Linked DNA regions of Ovis aries. The protein of the gene in region 1 interacts with the protein of each later gene in a biochemical or structural test. Links are inferred from orthologs where the notes say so. Each region holds a gene or a part of one and is shown in the gene's direction. Other genes may lie near its edges.

The links.
Region 2: the proteins of PARP1 (region 1) and histone H3.3A form a complex in vitro, tested with the Homo sapiens proteins (2 studies listed by BioGRID, with this or other methods). The link is inferred for Ovis aries from reciprocal best matches to the Homo sapiens genes PARP1 and H3-3A.
Region 3: of the proteins of PARP1 (region 1) and PIAS4, one has a biochemical effect on the other in vitro, tested with the Homo sapiens proteins (3 studies listed by BioGRID and IntAct, with this or other methods). The link is inferred for Ovis aries from reciprocal best matches to the Homo sapiens genes PARP1 and PIAS4.

Annotation. Positions count from the first base shown.
Region 1 is NC_056065.1:28,672,598-28,676,108, reverse strand, and holds part of PARP1 (poly [ADP-ribose] polymerase 1), read left to right. Parts: coding exon 1-207; intron 208-469; coding exon 470-538; intron 539-651; coding exon 652-784; intron 785-2,886; coding exon 2,887-3,082; intron 3,083-3,511. UniProt on the Homo sapiens protein: Poly-ADP-ribosyltransferase that mediates poly-ADP-ribosylation of proteins and plays a key role in DNA repair.
Region 2 is NC_056064.1:55,163,198-55,167,412, forward strand, and holds the start of histone H3.3A, read left to right. Parts: upstream 1-1,411; 5' UTR 1,412-1,533; intron 1,534-1,994; 5' UTR 1,995-2,004; coding exon 2,005-2,132; intron 2,133-2,247; coding exon 2,248-2,401; intron 2,402-2,498; coding exon 2,499-2,627; 3' UTR 2,628-4,215. UniProt on the Homo sapiens protein: Variant histone H3 which replaces conventional H3 in a wide range of nucleosomes in active genes. Constitutes the predominant form of histone H3 in non-dividing cells and is incorporated into chromatin independently of DNA synthesis.
Region 3 is NC_056058.1:17,802,343-17,806,601, reverse strand, and holds the start of PIAS4 (E3 SUMO-protein ligase PIAS4), read left to right. Parts: upstream 1-1,455; 5' UTR 1,456-1,480; coding exon 1,481-1,507; intron 1,508-4,259.

The DNA of each region.
Region 1 (3,511 bases):
TAAAAGAAGCCAACGTCCGCGTCGTGTCTGAGGACTTCCTCCAGGACATCTCTGCCTCCACCAAGAGCCTTCAGGAGTTGCTCTCCACCCACCTCTTGTCCCCCTGGGGAGCCGAGGTGAAGGTGGAGCCTGTTGAAGCAGTGGCCCCAAGGGGGAAGTCGGGGACCGCGCCCTCCAAGAAAAGCAAGGGACCTGTCAAGGAGGAAGGTGAGGCCCTGAGCGGCCCCATCGGGTCCACCCATGCAGAGCTTCTCCCTTTGTGCCCCAGTGGTCTGATGAGTGCTGCCCCTACTAGCTTTCTCAGTTCGTCTTCCCTTGACACAGAATGGCAGCAGCTTCAGGTGGTGAAAGGCAACACACATATCCTGTGTTGACTCTGACACAGGCAAAGATGACTCACTTGCACTACCTGCCACCTTCCCCTTTCTGGTTTATTTTTAATGTTTGCATTTCTCTGTTTCCTTCCAAGGTACCAACAAATCTGAAAAGAGGATGAAATTAACTCTTAAAGGAGGAGCAGCCGTCGACCCTGATTCAGGTGAGGAAATGGGAGTAGAGTGGGCTGCCAGGTTCCCTGGTCCTGGGGAACCAGCTGGGTCCCCTCCCTCCCCCCACCATGGGGGCAGACTCTCAGGAGCTCTGTCCTGACAGGTCTGGAACACAACGCGCACGTCCTCGAGAAAGGTGGGAAGGTCTTCAGCGCCACCCTCGGGCTCGTGGACATCGTCAAAGGGACCAACTCCTATTACAAGCTGCAGCTTCTGGAGGATGACAAAGAGAGCAGGTGCGCCAGGGGGCGGGGAAGCGTCCAGAGGAGCGTGCTCCTGAGAGTAAGGCCCCTCGGAGCTGGGCTGTCCGCGCACCTGGGGACCAGCCACCTCTCGACGATCGTAGGTGTGCGGTGATGTCTTCAGTGAAGGAGGGAAGAGGCCGTGGGCCCTGGACAGCCTTGCTGTCCTTGGTCGTCCATGTCACCTCAGGCTCTTGGGTTACCGAAGGCGTTTGGGTTTGCTTCTTTATTTATTTTTTATTTTCAGTGTAATGAAGCCAGGTAAGAGCCGGTCCTAGCATGCTGAGAGACTGGGCTGGCTTGACTGCCCGTACTTACCTAGTCGAAGTGGTCCTCCGACATGCGGATGGGCCCCTGTTACAGCCACTGTGGAATGGGAGCTACGTGTAAGCGGGAGAAGTGTGTGAAAGGAACTCTTGCTAAACCCAAATAGCGGCAGAAAAGCACTTTGTATTTTGAACTTGACCTTTTCTTTTTAGCAAATGGAAACAGTTTACCCGTTGAAGTCCAAGAGATTCAAAAGAGCTTTACTAGTTGAAAGGCAGACCCCTGAGAGAATGTCAGCAATTGGCAAATCTCGGCAGCTGCAAGTTGTAGGCACTGGCAGGCTCAGGCTCTTCCCATTTCTTCAGCTTCTCACAAACCTGCCATTTAAAATGTGAACCTCGGGGACTTCCCTGGTGGTCCAGTCATTAAGACTCCATGTTTCAATCCCTGGTCGAGGAACTAAAATCACACAGGCCACACAGCACAACCAGAAATCAAAAGACTGCCAAGTCTATCCATATGAATGAAAGAAGGTTTTAAAATGTGAACCTCAAAGGGCACATAACATCTGTGTGGCAATTCAAAGTTTGTAAAGAAAATCCTATATCATTTAGTTTACTGCTGACTCTTGTTGGAGATTTGAAGATAGGGTTTCTTGCTTGTAAAACATAACTTCCAAAAGCTAGCTTTGTATTGGAGTGCAGGAGGAGGAATGGGGTTTTTGTAAAAACGCAGAGTGCTATAGTTCGTAAACCGCAGGCAATGAGAACAGAACTGTCTACTACCAACGCACAAGAAGTTATACTGGTGATTTCAAATGGGTGGCTTATCCTGGTGGCCTTGATTTATTGGTTTTTATAGGGAAATGCCATTATGGGCTGTTAGAAGATGACAAGTTAGGTCCATGTGGTATCTTCCAAACATTTCTAGAGGGGGAAAAAACCAGCAGAGAATGAACTTATATGCCTCTGGGCAGTAGCCCAGAAAACCAGCAGGAAGCACCAGCTTTTCTTTGAAATCTCTGATTTTACTGCTATATCTGTACTTACTGTGGTGTGAGATTTAACTTCTGTATGATTTTCACTAAGAAAAATGCACTCCCCCAAAGCTAGGCAGCCCTGCCCCTAGAGTACCTGGGACTTAGCTCTAGCTTGAGATGAAAACTGAGTATATTAGCCTAGGTCTGCAGGTGGCTGACCCTGTGGACCACTCCCCTGCCTCCTCCCATTTCATTGTATCTCAGCCTCTGATCTGAGTCAAAGGTTCTTCATTCCTTTTAGTACCTATCGTTAATGAATGCATAACTTCCGGGTAATACTTGCTGTGTTTATTTGGGAAAAGGAATGGGATGTTTTTATGTAAAGGCCTCTGGAGAAGGAAATGGCAACTCATTCCAGTATTCTTGCCTGGAGAATCCCATGGGCAGAGGAGCCTGGCTAGCTACGGTCCATGGGGTCGCAAGAGTCGGGCATGACTTAGTGACTAAACCACCGCCACCACCATGTAAAGGCCTCGATTTACTCCTCAAGTTCAGCTGCCAGATCCAAGGTTAAACTGTTCTTTGGTACTTTTTATAGCTCACTTGCCAGTATGATATGGAAGGGCATTTTAAAATTACTTTAAACTTAACAACTCTCAGTTTAATAGAAATTAAAATAAAAGTTGTTTAATACTGGTTCCTTTTGTTCCTCTTTGTCAGTTACCATCGTTTTGGGTTGTTTACAACTCTTTTCTCCCTCAAGGGAAATAGCAGGGAGAGGAAGCTCATCCTGAAATATGACCGGACGACCTGCAAAATTATATCTGATGCTCTTCTCCTCTTCCCACAGGTACTGGATATTCAGGTCCTGGGGCCGTGTGGGCACGGTGATTGGTAGTAACAAACTGGAGCAGATGCCATCCAAGGAGGATGCCATTGAGCATTTTATGAAATTATATGAAGAGAAAACCGGAAATGCCTGGCACTCTAAGAACTTTACAAAGCATCCCAAGAAGTTCTACCCTCTGGAGATTGACTATGGCCAGGTAATCATGCTCTGACACTTGCTAGTGCTAGGAAAAGGTTTTCTTTTAAAAACCTGCCATGGAAAAAAAAAAAAAAAACCTGCCATGAATCAGATGACATCATTGATGAATTCCACCAAGTATTTAAAGAATTAATACTGGTCCTTCGTAAACTCTTCCAAAAAACAGAAGAGAAAGGAACACTTTTCAACTCGTTATACAAGGCCAGTATTATCCTGATAACCAAAGACAGATAAAGACATCACAGGAAAACTACAGACCAATATAGTTATGGATATAAATGCAGCACCTTCGGTAAAATACTAACTGACTCTAGCAGCACACGAGGATTTAGGCGCCGTGATTGAGTAGGATTTTTCCCAGGAATGCAAGGTTGGGTCAACATGCAAAAATCAAATCAGCGTAGTGTAACATGAGCAGAATAAAGGA
Region 2 (4,215 bases), on another chromosome or scaffold:
ATATTTTATATAACTGAATCATCTGAAGAACTAAGTATTAAAATCCACTCAAGACATGTAGACAAAGGTAGGGATTACCATTATTTTTTTACATTTGAATAGAAAATTTATTATTTTCATTTTCCAAGTGTTTTCTTTTTCTATCAGGGAGGGGAAAAAAAAATCTTAAGGACAGTTGTCACTTGCTGCCAAATTGAGGGTAGTCTTTCTCTGGTGGTTTAGTCTCTTAAGTTGCCTCTGACTCTTGCAACCCTATGGACTGTAGCCTGCCAGGCTCCTCTGTCCATGGGATTCTCCAGGCAAGAATACTGGAGTGGGTTGCCATTTCCTTCTCCAGGGATTACCATTTTTATGTTTCTTCAGAAGTAATATATTCAAGGATAGACCGTTAAATACAAGGGACCGTATTTAATTTAGTTGTCTTTTGTTCTTGCCTGGAGAATCCCAGGGACAGGTGGGCTGCCATCTATGGGGTTGCACAGAGTCAGACACGACTGAAGTGACTTAGCAGCAGCAGTCTTTTGTTTATACTTTAGGTTTATACTTGCAAATACTGGTTTAGAATTGACTATTCCCATTCTGGCTGTAGTGATTTTGTTCAGTTGAATTACAGAATTTAAAAAAATATGTTGCCTAGTAAGTTACTCCTTAACTGTAAGCATATTGAAATCAGTGTTTTGTGGTGGTCTAAGGACATAAAAAACAGTCCTTATAAATAAAATAATTTATTGACATTTGTTTCTTTTTTATTTATTTGTTATTTACCTCTCCCCACCCCACCAAACAAAAGAACTGTATTTTGGTTAAAATGTATATGCCTCATAGATAAAATACTTGATAACATGATTTACTGAATTCTAATTTTCATTTACACTACTACCTATCAAAATGTTCATGAAAAGTAAGCAATCACAGGGAATGCATTTTATTTTACATTGGAAAATATTTACAAAATTTTCATGAAAATACCGTCTCCTTCATGGTATTAGCTTGATGCAAATAACGTTAGGCCCCTTGCCCTCCGGTCTGTCCAGATTAAGGACCAGTCCTGATAAGGACCAGTGCAATTCATTTGCATTGACTTTCTATTGTAGAGCTTTGGAACCAAGGGAAGGATCCAAACATAGCTCCATTTTATCCAATCAGAAGAGCGGCTTGGTGCTAAACTCTGATTCGTCCATTCTTCTTTGCATTCATCCAATCGTTAGGCCACTTTAACAGCCAATCAGTGGTCTAGATGTCCGCCAATCAGGGAACGGGGCCGAAGCACGGCCTTTGTGTCGGGGGATGTCAGCGCGTCGGCGAAAGCGTCAGCCAATAGAAAAAGTCATTGGTGTATGCAAATTAGGGTCCTATGACGCAGAGACGCAGCGTGAAGCGTGGGTATAAAAACCGAGGTATAGGGGGGCTTAGCGCGCAGAGCGGTTTGGTCGTTCGTTGGGGAGGGTTCGTGCAGTGTTTCAGCTACTGCGGCTCTTTGGGCAGCAGCGGCGGCGCGGTGGTCGGAGAAGCGGCCTAAAACTTCGGCATTAAGTAAGTGTTCATGGGTTTTATCTGTGACTTCAGGCTTGGCCAGCCGTTGATATCGCGGGTCGAGGCCGTTGAGAGCCAAGTGCCGACTGGTGCGGGCTACTCTGGCTGTTGGCGCCGGCTGTGGGGGCGGGTAGTTTTCCCTTGGGGTTTCGTTCCGGAACCGCGTCTCCGCCTTTTTCCCGCTGGTGATTCAGAGGTCCCGACGCTGGGTTCCGGGCAGCCGGGCCTCCGCCCGTCGAGGAGGGGAAGTGACTCCTCCCCGCGCCCCCCCCTCCCACAGGAGGCTGCTGCTACTCGCAGCCTGAGTCATTAGGGGAGGGGGAGGAGGCGGCGGCCCTCGGCCATCTGCCGTCCGCCTTGGGGCGCGAGGAGGCGGGAGGGCTGGGGCGCCGAGTGTCCGGGGCGCCGCACCCCGAGAGGCGAGCGTGCCTCGGCCCCGGAGTCACGGGTGTCTTCTACAGGTAAAAGAAAATGGCCCGAACCAAGCAGACTGCTCGTAAGTCAACGGGTGGGAAAGCGCCCCGCAAGCAGCTGGCCACCAAAGCGGCCAGGAAAAGCGCCCCCTCTACCGGCGGGGTGAAAAAACCTCATCGCTACAGGTAGGCAGCGCTACAGGGAGACGATGACTCGGCGGCGCTGCGGGCGGGATGCTTCCCGCGGCTCGCCGGCCGCTTTCGTAACCGGTGTCCCTTTGCGCTCTCCTGCTCGCTCCAGGCCCGGGACTGTTGCGCTTCGAGAAATCCGTCGTTACCAGAAATCCACCGAGCTTCTGATCCGGAAACTGCCTTTCCAGAGGTTGGTGAGGGAGATCGCCCAGGATTTCAAGACTGACTTGAGGTTCCAGAGTGCCGCCATCGGCGCGCTGCAGGTGAGCTGGCGGGGGCTGTGTGCGGCTGGGCGGAGGGGAGGGCTGGTGCGCGGCCCCCTCAGAGAGAGTCTAATAGTGTGGCTCTTGTCCTCCACAGGAGGCTAGCGAAGCGTACCTGGTGGGTTTGTTTGAAGATACTAATCTGTGTGCCATCCACGCTAAGAGAGTCACCATCATGCCCAAAGACATCCAGTTGGCTCGCCGGATACGGGGAGAGAGAGCTTAAGTGAAGGCAGTTTTTATGGTGTTTTGTAGTAAATTCTGTAAAATACTTCGGTTTAATTTGTGACTTTTTTTGTAAGAAATTGTTTATAATATGTTGCATTTGTACTTAAGTCATTCCATCTTTCACTCAGGATGACTGCGAAAAGTGACTGTTCACAGACCTCAGTGATGTGAGCACTGTTGCTCAGGAGTGACAAGTTGCTAATATGCAGAAGGGATGGGTGATATTTCTTGCTTCTCATGATGCATGTTTCTGTATGTTAATGACTTGTTGGGTAGCTATTAAGGTACTAGAATTGATAAATGTGTACAGGGTCCTTTTGCAATAAAACTGGTTATGACTTGATCCAAGTGTTTAACAATTGGGGCTGTTAAGTCTAACCATACATCACTGTGATAGAATGTGGGCTTTTTCAAGGGTGAAGATACAAGTCTTAACCACAGTGTAACTTACAGTTTCCTTAAAAAAAAAAAAGTAAACCTGGCAGCTATAGAATACACTATGTGCATTTATAATAGCTATTTTATATATTGTAGTGTCAACATTTTTAAATTAAATGTTTTACATTGACATGTGGTGGGGAGTGTTGTCTTTAAGGTGTGTAATTTAGAGTTCGATTGGTTTTCTCCTGAGTAGACTGCACTTGTTTACGTAGTAAAATGCTTTTCGCGTTATACCTTGCATAAGTCCTCATTCTACCACATGTTAAACTAACCTTCTAGCTGATAATGCAAACACTAACGGGGAGGGGGATTTATTTATAAGGGCTCTAGACTATAATACAAGTTACTCACACCAGCATCATCTGTTACTAATATAGTAGTTAGTGCAGCTTTTCTTTGTGTTGTGATTGGTCTCATAACTAGGTTGAACTTTTCTCTACCAAGGAGGAACAATACCGAACTTTTTCCTTGTGGGGTTTGTATTATAATAACTGTTAGGGTAAACTTGCTGTTGGGGAGGGACACAGCTTCAGCTTATTGAACCTCTGCCAGTTTAAATGGTGTTCATGTGGCATAGGTTCTGGGAAAATCACTTCATAGAGATGGCTTTCCAAGTGGTTTTAAAATTTATCCTTCTATTGGAAGTTTCTAGGTCAATTATGTATGTTGACTAAATTTACAAATAAACTTGTTTATTCAACTAAGTGTCAAAAACCTAAATTGAGTACCAAGCTTTTAAGATTAGCTGATTTCAAGTTTTACTTGATAGCAAAAGCAGTATTTACAAGAATAATTCTACAAAGCATGTAAACAGTCCTCTAGAAGCTTTTTAAAAATGCTATGACAACATTTTTGCAGTGTGGGCCTGTGACTAAAAGGCGGCTTCCCTGCCTCCCCGTATCTGTTGAGGAAAGGAAATTTAATTCTAGAACTCAAATTTGGGGTTTGTTCCTGAACCTATTTGTGAAGAACGTTTATAGATTTTTTATTTTTTAATTGAAGGATAAGTGCTTTATAGGATTTTGTTTCTTAACATCAATATGAATCAGCCTTAGCTGTAGGTGTATATATGTCCCCTCCCAGTATAGACTTTTTTATACAGTGAGTTACAAGTGCCCACAGGTGTAGAACTCGGTTTAAGTCTA
Region 3 (4,259 bases), on another chromosome or scaffold:
ACTGGACCCCTAGGGAAGTTCTCACACCCTTAAAAAAAAAAAAAGAAAGTAACTGTAAGAAAAGTAAAACAAAACCCTGCTGAGTTACAGTTCTGGTGAGGCGAGGGAAGTCACTTATACAAAGTTGTATAACCTCTTATAGCATATTAAAAAGCAGAGACATTACTTTGCCAACAAAGGTCCGTCTAGTCAAGGCTATGGTTTTTCCTGTGGTCATGTATGGATGTCAGAGTTGGACTGTGAAGAAAGCTGAGCGCCGAAGAATTGATGCTTTTGAACTGTGGTGCTGGAGAAGACTCTTGAGAGTCCCTTGGAATGCAAGGCGATCCAACCAGTCTATTCTAAAGGAGATCAGTCCTGGGTGTTCTTTGGAAGGAGTGATGCTAAAGCTGAAACTCCAGTAGTTTGGCCACCTCATGCGAAGAGTTGACTCATTGGAAAAGACCCTGATGCTGGGAGGGATTGGGGGCAGGAGGAAAAGGGGACGACAGAGAGTTGGTGATGGACAGGGAGGCCTGGCGTGCTGCGATTCATAGGGTCGCAAAGAGTCAGACACGACTGAGGGCTGAACTGATACTCTCTTAAATTTTATTATTTTCTTCATCATGGCTATTTCTGCATTTTTATATAAAAATTAGTAACTTGATAACTGAGTCATTTGGCGCGCTTCATTTTCTCAAGGGATGGGCCCCGAAATACGTTTTTATCCTCTTGCTTTCTTTGACACAAGAAAGTTTGGGCTTAGCAGCTCACCGACACTGGGGAGCCACGGAGAGCTCTAAAGCTGGTAAATTTCCGATTAGCGCAAATTCCAAAGGTTTACCGTGGGTGGAGAGGCGGAAGTGGGCGGGAGGGTGGTCACCTGCACCGCGGGAATTGGGTAGGGGGTACAGCATTTCTCCGCCGGCGGCGCACCAAGGGGGTGTGGCGCCCTCGCCCTCTCAGCCACCCCAGGACCCGGATGTACAGCGCGTGGGGCTCCCGGCCCGCTGAGAATGAACCGCGCTGCGCTCCACGGCGCCTCACTGCACGCAGTGGCGGCCGCTGCGCGGGCCAACCATTTTCTCCCTCCTGGCAGCGAGGCGTCCGGTCACGCACCTGGAGGCTGCCTCGCGCAGGAGACCGCGACACCTGGCTGCATTGTTGTCGCCTCAACTGTCTACTCTCTCGTCAGACAGGACCCAGTATCCGCCCCAACCTGTGCCGGCCTTGTACCCCTTTAAGAAACCAGACACGGCCAGGGGTGGGCGTGGTCACAGTGAGTGAAACGGGGAGGGTGGGTGCGTAGTCGGGCAGCCCTGATTGGCCGGAGGCCCGGGCGGTGCCGCGCGCGCTTGCGCAGTGCGCGGTCGCGCGCGCCAGAGGGGAGGAGGGCGCGAGGGTGATAATTGGCCGCGGCGCGGGCCCCGCCCGCGAATGGAAGGCGATCACGTGACGCGACGGCTGGGGGCTCCCGGCGCGGGGGACGCTGGTGGCCAAGATGGCGGCGGAACTGGTGGAGGCCAAAGTGAGTGAGCGGCGGCGGCGCCGGCCAGGGCGGGCGGGGGACGGGGGTCGGGCGGCAGCCCGAGGTCTGTGCCTTCCGCTCGGGGCCCCACGGCGCGGCCCGCCTGCGGCTCGGCGTCCTGCCCCCTCGCCCGTCCCTGGCCTGGGGGCTCCGGTTGCGGGCGGGGCGCGGGAGGCCGGGGGCGGGGCCCCCAAAACCTCACCCCAGTCTCCGAGCAGGGGGTTCGGCCCCCCCAGGCGTGAGGTTGGGTCCTCCCCTCTCCAACCCTAGCGACTAGGGTCCAGATCGCGCTGAACGCAGGCACAGGGCCGCGCCTCCAGCTTGAGGCACATTCCCCCCGGACAGCGTGACGGGTTGGGCTGCTCGTCCCTTCCTCGAGGTCGGCGCTCTTTGGCTTGGGGGAGTGTCCGCCTCTCACCGCTTCCCATGGTATAGTGGGCTGGCATCTGGGTCTCAAGTCTCCTCGCCCAGCTGATCAGGCTGCGCTTGGCGGCTCTCTGCTCGGAAGGGTCCTCTGAGTTTTCTGCCACGGGTGATGAGCTGGGGATCCTGAACCGCCCCCAAACACAGGGTGTCTCTTGAGGGTCTGTACCCCAGGCTGGGGTTTAGAGCCCTTATTCAGCTCCCGCTCTGGTCCCAGAGCCCCGCCCCCTCCTGACACCCTTCTCACCCCGGAGTGAGCGCGGTGTTAACTGAGCTTGCCTTCCTGAGCTTGCCTTCCCGGTGTGATGGAGCCTTGGTCCTGGTGTCAGCTCCTTCCTAACTCTTTTCTCTCAGTCACAGGTCCTGGGTTTTGCGTTCCTTCTCACTCTTTCTCCTCCCGACAGCATTTGTGCAGCTGTGAACTCTGCTCCTGGGAGCCCTAGACTCCACACTCGGAGGATCAGACCCCGTTTCCAACCCCAGCTGCTTCCCTTATACTCAGGCCATCACGAGTCTACTGCTCAGACCACACTCCGCACACAGCCTCTCTTTAGATCTGTTTAGACAGCCCAGCTCTGGCGTCTGAGGCCCTGCTCTTTCTGCGGGTCTCTTACGTTGATCCTTGGAATGTCCCCAGTTGATTGCAAGGTTCTTTAAAATGGTTCCTAGTCTGTCTCCCCTGCATTGCTGTCTGGGGTCCACATTCTACATCCCAAGGATGTTACTCCTTCTAGCTTGAGGCCCCTTTTAACCGTCTTGGCACTAAGCTGGGTGCATCTCTCTCCCAGGGAAGTATCTACTGTCAGAGGCCCCTGTGAGGTGAGGCTCCAGAACCCTTGCCCCTGACTAGGCTAGGTTCTTGCCTGAGAAGTTTACTCAAGGCCGCTCATCTTTCGGAGGTGGGGAAGGGACCTAGCAAGACAGGCCCCGCCCCCTCCCCCGCTGATCTTTCCTCCCAGGGGTCCTGACCTGTAAATGTTTTCTCTCTCTCGCTCCTCCCTCTCCCTCCGTCTCCCTTTGCTTCCCACGGGGATCTGAAATACAGCCCTCATGGTTCTGTGATTATCCAGTATTACTCTCCCTTCACCCCTGAGTGCCCTCCACCTATACCTGCATCACACATGCGGCCACCGCTCTGTTTTGAGAAATTGAGAGTTGCCCTAGAGATGCAGGGGTCCGAACCCTGCCAGCCCAAGGTGGCATCCTATGGCCTGAAGTCCCCTGGAGCCCTGAAATTTAACTTCCTCAGGGCACTGTGGGCCTGTGGCTCTAGATGCAGGCCTGCCACTCCAGCCAGAGAGTAGGGTCTGAACTATTATACCATCTAGGGCCTTGAAATATGATCTGATGAACTCTACTTGACCCTTCCATGACTGGGGCCCCCTCCCCAATTAGATCAGATTGATCCTTTATCAAGTTCTCTAAACCATGAGCCTCTGTCCTAGGGGGTCTCAGAACTGCCACCCAGCCTTCTCTGATCCTCTGGAACCTTCCTGCTTCTTCAGCACCTTGCTGTCCCCATGGAGTGCTTTACATGTCATTGAAATAACCCCCTCTTTGAGACACTTTCTTAAACCTTTCATAGTGATAACCAGAGACTTATCTTTTGGGATGGATGCAAAATGGGCTGATCTGAGAGGAGAGCAAGGGGGACTTATTCATACACTTGGAAATCTGAGACTCTTCACCTGAGGCCCCTGAGAGGGGTTGCGGGGAAGGGTTGGACTGGGCACTCCCCTAGAGGGTGTGTAGCCATATGCGCTGAGTTCTGAGTTCCTGCAGTGAGGAGCCCCTGTTCAGTTGAGTGTGACTGTTGTATCCAGGCCGCTGTTTCTCCATGCGGCTCCTGAGGGGCCCAGAACTGAGGCTCTGGAAGCTGTTGTGGGCCTGGCGCTGTTTATAAACACAGATCTGAGGGGCAGGCGGGTCAAGATAAAGCCAGGCAGGAAGTGATCTGTGTAGTGCTTGGGGCTTCTTCCTGAATGTTTGCGCCCCGCTCATTCCGCTCCCCCCACCTCCGCCCAGTGTCAAGGGCAGGCTCCTGGGTAGTGGCAGCTGCTGAGAAATCCGAGTCCTGAACATATGGCAGCTCAAGAGGTGTGCCCCAGGCTGCGCGTGCACAGGCGGCTTCCGGATGTCCCCAACCTGGTGGAAGGGGCAGGTGGGGGCAGGGGCTTCCTAGGGCGGGGTGCCCTGTCGTGGTCAGACTCTTAAAGGCCAGGCCCACCTGCTTCAGGCTCAATGGCTGGTGGTCAGCTCTTCCACATGATTTCGCTTCTCCCCTTGAGTGCCTTGGGCCTCTTCCAGAAGAAACATCTTGTCTGCAAGC